Tribolium castaneum: one gene and its partner. The protein of the gene in region 2 purifies or fractionates together with the protein of the main gene of each other region. This does not show direct contact. Links are inferred from orthologs where the notes say so. Each region holds a gene or a part of one and is shown on either strand. Other genes may lie near its edges.

Region 1 (3,126 bases), on a different chromosome or scaffold from region 2:
AAATTTTCGGGTCCTAAATACAGGTTATTAAAAACTGGGAGTTGTAGTAACAGTTAGTTACATTATGGGCGCTTTCTCCGCATTTTTCAATCGCTGAGAGCCCCTGAGCTGCGATATGTTGCTCGAGAAGCGTCCGTAATTCCCCTAAACCGTCCGGAATCCGCGCTACCAACGAGTACATCCGACCCAAATCCTCGTCTTTGTCGGCGTCCAACAACTGCTGGAACTCCGAATGGAACATGTCGAGGTGCTTTTTAATGAGGACTCTTTCGCAGGTTTTGGCTAAACGGCCGCTTGTTGTTTCGTGTAGATAGACTTGGACGCGTTTCTGTTCTTCGAGGAGACGTTGTTCGGCCTTTTTCATGTATTCAGTGACCGGATTTTGTGCTAGGAAGTTGTTACTCTCTTTTAGGTAGAAGCGTTCAGTGTCTTCCAGAAACATGTTTTCGAAACTCTCTTTGTACACCGATAGGTTCGGTCCTTTGGCCCCTGGTTCCTCCTCGTTTAGGCCCAATTCCACGTAACAGTTTATCACGCCAGAGACTAAACGAGTGTTGATTGTTTCGCCGTTGCGCTCGCGTTCGATCAGTTTCAGAACGGCAGTTGTTACCTGGTTTGAACGGGGGAGAAAAATAAAAACGACAGCCCCGGATAGGGGCTTGCAAACTCTCAATATTTACTAATTTAAAACGAAAGCAAAAACAAAACTTTTAAAATTAATATAATTCTATTTATTACCTCAGAAGTATTTTTTTTATTTCATTTTTCTGAGGATTTTTCCATACCAGATTAGCTAGCGTAAGTGGGCTAAAATAAGTTTATTTTTACCGTATCGCAAAAAATTATAAACACACATTAAATGCCTGTTTTTCTCTATGCAAGTAAATCTTTTCAAAATTTTTACAAGTTCCTTATACGCAATCAAAACAAATTAATTAATCGTAAGCGACTGAAAAAAATATTTCAAATTTTGATTTATGTCAAAATTACGTAGAAAACATTGTAGCTAGCCTCAAAAAATCCTCCAAAAAGTTGGATGATCTCACATTAAATTGTAACCAAAAACATTCAGGCAAACCAGCCCTTAATATTAATTTATTAATTTTAAGAAATTGTAGAAAAAATATGAGAAAATTCACATACAGGGTGAGTCAATAGTGGGTTAAATTTAAATGTTTTTTTGACCTTCATGTGGAGTGTAATCTTTCAAATTCAAAATGTCAAATCTTCCTAAAGGCTCCAGATCTTCAGCTACTCATACTCTCCGAGATTATAAATATATTTTTGAAATTTATTAAAGCTTTCATCAAAATCGCCTTCTGCTGAATTAGCCGACTTTTCGGTTCTTTTTGGATAATTTTGAAACTGTTCTCACCTTCTAAATTAAATAAAAAAAAAAGAAGTTAAATAAAGTACAGTGAGCCGTAGATGACCCCTCGTTTTTCCCTTCCCCATAAATATTGATAGTTTTCCGCGCGAATTTGTGGCTAACCTGTTTGTTTAATTGTTTGAACAGATGATCTCGCCATGTCACCAGTGCGAGCTGATAAATTTCGTAGATTCCTTTCCTTCCCTCTTCGCATTCTCTCTTCACCCAATGTCGATTCAAATACGAGCAAATACCATTCAGAACCTTGCTACTGAACTGATACTCCTCCCATTGACGCGTATAAAATTTCAAAACGCCTTCACCCATCCGATTCATCCCGTCCTAACAGAAAAAAAAATGAAAAAATTGATTTGTAAATCTTCCGGTTTCGAAATTACTACGCAATAATCAAATCACGTCAATAATAACTTGTTTTGCTACATGTCTGTTTCCGCCTTTATTGCGTTAATTGTGTTTTTATTTGTGCGGCGGACCAAACAATACGCATCGAAACAACAAAACGCAGTTGGTTCGCAAACGTGGATTCATAAATTAATAAAATTATATTCATATTTGTCCAGTACGTTTTTTTTTTTCCAAACAGTTAAAACAGATAAGATTACTGAATAATTCACTCGAATTTTTTATCTTTCTCTGGTGTCTTATTCGAATTGAGATTCCATTAAGGTGGGTTTAAAAATAACACGTATTGTTATAATTACCTTTTAACCAAGGTTAATGACAGAGTTTAACTGGAATTTGCATGTAAACGTAAAACATTGTAGTCTTTACAAAAAAAAAATTCCAAAGAAATTATTTTGTCTCAAATCGCTCAGTTTATTTTATTTAAACCACAACAACGAATATTTTTTTTAGATTTTAGTAAATTTCATCATAGATTTTTTCCAACTTGTTCGTTCATAAAAAGCAAAACAATTCACGACTAGGCTTTTATTACTGTCAAGATTTGCTGGCGATTATTGCGTCAAAATCATGATTCATTCAATTTCTTGTTTCACAATCTTATTCCGCGCTCGATTAACACGACCTGAACCGTCTCAACTAATTTACGAGTCGTTCCAACAGATAACGATGATAAAATGTGAACTTCATCCTTTGACCAATTTAAAATTGTAATTTTCGTTATCCCTTCGTGCATTATTCAGTCACACTTTCTCCACGCTTCCACTTAATATTTTAACACTGGCATTTCGTTTTTTTTTTTTTAATCAAAAACAGATATTCCCTCGATCGATAAATTAAGCGTCACCGGAAAATTTCCTCAACCGAAAATTAGTCTTGCATCAACTGCGGTAATTACAGCACGAAACGTCACTCAAGGAAAAACAACAATTCTGCAATTTTCGGTATTTTTCCCCGATTTTGTTATTGCCAAGTGCACTTCTTATCCGTCGACCCTTTGAACTTTCGCTGGAAATAATCGCTGACCTGAATTTTCACCGAAAAACGTATTTACTTTCTTGCACCGAAATTTTGTAATAAAGCGGAAGTAAATGTGGCGCCATTGCCATAGCTCGTGACCAAACAACATTCAAGATAATTAACGTTAAAACACTGTTGGAAACGAGATTTTTTTTTATCTGTGGCGAATCGATAACGTTGCGTAATTGATACCATTATAAAAATATGAAATATTCAAATACGTGGTCGTTCAACTCGCAACAAATTCAATTTTTATGATGCGAGGGGTTTGTTTCGATTGTGTGAAATCCAATCCATTAGATTTTCGTTATTTC
Region 2 (4,325 bases):
ACAGTTACGTAACTCAATATTTCAATGAAAGCACATTAATTACGTGTGTAAAAATGCAAAACAATTGCACAACTCCGCCTAGTCCCTGCATCAAAATAAGGCGTGAAATTGCAGGAACTCTACTTACGTAATGTTTAATTTTATCGTGAGTAGAGTTCTTGCAGTCAGTTTTATTTTTTTAAGAATCATCAATTGTTCGTAATGACGTAACTATTAAATTAAGAACACAAATAAAACGAATGTGGGGGGAAATGAAACATGCCTAGATTTTAGGAATAATTGTCATGGTTTTCAGTTCACTCGTTAATTTGCATAAAACCGGTCTTTGTAATTACGTGGTAAGTTGTAGAAATTCATTTGTTTTGATTTAAGTCTGAACAGGAGAGCATTAATTGTAATAATTGAAAATAAAATGTGGTCGATGGTTGGTTGTTTTATTTACCGTTTCTTAGGGAGCGACTCGGCAAGGAAATATGAAAAATTTATTTACTGCTCAAGATTTCACACACAACGAGCTGCATATTTTTATACAGCAGCTACTGGCTTACAAAATGATGTATATTTTAAAAAATATTCCAACATAAATTTGTATAGTTTTGTAGATACTTACACCTAGTTACTTAAGAACATCCCAGCTATTGTTCCAGCGTTATTTAAGCAATTTTAATATCGTACGATGGTAGAGTAGATAAGGTTTGTGCAGCATTTGACCTAATTACGATTTTGAAACGATGAGTGTGGCCCTTGGACCCAAACCTGAAACCCATTCTTGTATTTTTTGGAAATTTTATTGGTTATAACGGAGGACTAAAATATTAGGAGGCGTTTTCGTCGCAAAAGCGAATACAAAAATTAGAGCACTAAAAACAACAAAAATTTTGCCAGTTTGTGATCTCTGGTACAAAAGGAGCAAAATACAAGAACAAAGTCGTAGATATTAAATTACAGTGAAAAGAGGCGCTAAATTCATGAAGAATAAAGGCGGCTTTTAAGTCAAAAACCGGCTAAATGCTCGAAAAATGAAAAAAAAAAAATTGGTCAAATATTCGACCCTAAATGGTTGACTTTTTTATCTTTGGGAAAACGAAGTATGTTGTCATTTGCGACCCAATTTAGTGAACTTTTTTATCTCAAAAGCCCCTAAACACTAGAAAAACGATATATTTTCTATTCATTACAGTAATTTTTCGGGCGGTAAGTTTAAAAACGTGTTTAAAGCCCCGACTAATGCAAAAAATACACAATTATCGAGGTAATTTGATTATTTCTACGCTTATTTTTAACGAAGTTTTACAAAATATATACAAATTCACAGTAAACTATTGCAAAACATTTTGAGGCGCCAAGCATTTTGGTGATTTTTAGGTCTTGTTTAGCAAAATTCGCTAGCCTGTTTTAAACAAAAATTCGCAAATAATTCCGTGACTGTATACAAGATCTGTCACAAACTTGTTTAAACCCTCAAAAAATTAGGTAGTTTTTTGGTTTATTTTCGACAAAATCATTGTTCTGGTGAATGTTTTGAATTTAAAATAATTCGGAGCCGAAAGTACTCGAAATTTCTTAGTCCTTCGGAGTTTTGCAATTACCTAGACTTTCTAAAGGAACATCGTAATCTTCAGGCCCGAAAACCTTCTTTGGATAATTCGTCATAAGGCTAAAGGGCCCTTCCCCGTCCTTTCGGTTCATTTCCACATACAGCCTCACAGCGCTCAGGGGCTCCTTGGCCCCGAACTTCTGCACAAGCGACGACCCATTCGTGAGCCTGATCTGCAGCATAACCTCCGAGTAACCGGCCGCCGGCTTGGGGGCCGCCGGTTGGGGCGCCGGCGTAGCAGCTTGTGGGGCTTCCTCCAGCGGTTGCCCCGAAAATTTCGCTTTCCGAGCCAACTTGTCCTGTTCGATTTGTTCTTTCACACGCTGTCTGGCCAGCCTTTCCTCCTCCTTCTCCCGCTTTCGCTGCTCCACAAGCTTCTTCATCTCGATCTCGTCGTGTTTTTTCTTGGCCTCCAGCAGCTCCTTTCCCGACTTGATCCGACTGCGTTCCTTCTCCAGGGCCTCCTGTTTCTCGCGCGCTTCGCGCTCCATGCGCCTCTGTTTGAGCTTGGCTTCGATTTTCGCCAGTTGTTCCTTCTTTTCTTCCTCAGTGAGCGGTTTCTTCTCCTCCGTCGACTCCGAGAAGTGCTCGTGGCCCGACTTTGTGGCGTGAAACTCCACCTCGTCCTGCGACTTGAACAGCTTGCCGCAGTCGTCACATTTGAAGGACCTGACGACTTGGCCCTCGGGACTGGGCTGCGCTTCGGGGGCGGAGGCGTCGGCGGCTTGCGGGGGCTCCGGCATGTCCTCCAGCTCTTCCTCGTGGGACAGCAGCCAGTCCATGGCAACCTGGATGTCTTCGGTCCCGGTTTTGGAAACTGCTAACTCACTGCAAGCATTTTAATGGTAATTTGAACCGCAATGACGTGTTGGCTTACGCTCGTGCTTTGCTGAAGCCCATCTCGACCAAGGTGTCCACAGTACCCGACATTTTTTAATAAGGGGCTTTGCACTACGAATTTGACTAAACAACTGGTCGAAAAACCGACTTTTTCGCGTAAAACGACACCATGCAATGCGTATTTCAACGATACTGATGTGACAACACCGGCAAAAATGCAATCAGCTGATAAACGCACAAACAACACTAAACTTGTATTTCGGACGGTTTCGCAACGTGTCCTCAACGTTTTTGATCAAAAACAATGAGTTTACGCGATATTTTCCTAAAATGTGGTTAATTTTGGGGACGCGTTCGGATCTAGGAAAATTTACGTCTAGAACTTGGCATCAACAGAAAAGCACATACCTAGAAACATTCACTGGCAGAATCGCACAAACCGAGAAACATTCATTCACAGAATCATTCAAAACAGAACATTATTTATTTAGGCACTGGATGCTGCCTATGACAGTATTTATCTAGAAAATTCATTACCAGAAACGTGCATCAATTCGGGAATAAAATTATCTAGACGCCCTCAGGTGACGACATGTCGTTCTTGCCGAAAACAGTAACGAAATTTTCGTAATTTCTTATTTAATGAATATTTAGCAATTTTGCGTGTATTTACATTAGAGCGAGTCAATCTAAAAGTATGTGGTGGTAAATACTAGCGTTGCTTTTGGTTGTGAGTTTTCGTAATTATCAAATGTTTTTGTTTGTAATGTAAAAGTTGATATAAAATTAAAGAAATTTTACTTTTGACAACAAAGTGTTATTAAAACAATTGCCTAATCAATAATTGTTGAAGTGTGTGAAATACTTGAGTGAATCCACAAAACTGCAATTAAGATTAACAACTGCTCATACATTTAAGTATATTGTTCCAAAAGGTAGGCTTTTCAATGTGCTTTTAATAATTTTACAATAAAGTACCTAATTGAACAAACAGTCATTCGTTATTCGTGTTTTTCTCGTCATCTCTAATTTGTCAACATTCGTTCTTTGCACCAAAGTCATTCAACCAACCAACCTTCTGGCAACTTGGACTTGCAATTATTAAAATTTACATTTTTATGAATAACACTGAAGTTGTCGTTTTTGATTCAAGGTAGATTGATCTGCCCCTACATATTCAATAAGAATTAATAACGCTCTAAAAGAGCAGAAAGACACACAAAATAGTCCACTAAAGTGAAAACTTAACATTTCAGAAGTGAGCACAACAATCCTAACCCTACTTTTTCTAGAGCTAAATTTTCTGGAGACTTTTGTCCCTATTTGGCAGTAGCATTGAAATTCTTAATGCAAGGTAGAAATTCCTACCCTAAATATCCTCTGCAAGGGCAGAAAATTTCACGTCGCCAGTTTCTGTTTAAATAAAAACATGCGTCTTTATTTTTCCATTAACTACGATTATTTTATAATTTCAGACCACTGCCATTAAAAATCTGAATATTTAGGAAACCATTTCGATAAATCTAGGGACTTTACATTTCTACCTTTAACAGCGCCCTCTGTTACGTTTTTGATTTGGGTGTTAATGATTTTCTAGACAAATACATTTCGTGTAATGACTTTTTCTAGATCAATACTGTTCTATTTTGCATAATTCTGTGTATGAATGTTTTTAAATTTGACGGATTTTGCCACTGAATATTTCTGGTGATGAACTGTTTTAAGCTTGTGTGACGTCACGTCCGTGACGTGTCACGAGGTTAGGTGTGCGGCGCAGGCGGCGAGAGCGCTTCAGTCGACAGCGAGCAGCGGCACGGTCCAGTTGGGGAGCGGGAGCAGGAGGCGAGGCGAAGCGAGGTGAGGCGGTTTATTTAAATTATTGTGTATT

The links. Proteins that work in one complex are often made in the same cells at the same time.
Region 1: the proteins of UBX domain-containing protein 1 (region 2) and Cul1 purify together in Homo sapiens (affinity purification with western blotting; 3 studies listed by BioGRID and IntAct, with this or other methods). This does not show direct contact. The link is inferred for Tribolium castaneum from reciprocal best matches to the Homo sapiens genes UBXN1 and CUL1.

Annotation. Positions count from the first base shown.
Region 1 is NC_087396.1:22,572,656-22,575,781, forward strand, and holds part of Cul1 (cullin-1), read right to left. Parts: intron 1,712-3,126; coding exon 1,493-1,711; intron 611-1,492; coding exon 62-610; intron 14-61; coding exon 1-13. UniProt on the Homo sapiens protein: Core component of multiple cullin-RING-based SCF (SKP1-CUL1-F-box protein) E3 ubiquitin-protein ligase complexes, which mediate the ubiquitination of proteins involved in cell cycle progression, signal transduction and transcription.
Region 2 is NC_087395.1:21,641,220-21,645,544, reverse strand, and holds UBX domain-containing protein 1, read right to left. Parts: upstream 2,860-4,325; 5' UTR 2,528-2,859; coding exon 2,475-2,527; intron 2,426-2,474; coding exon 1,590-2,425; intron 757-1,589; coding exon 716-756; 3' UTR 469-715; downstream 1-468.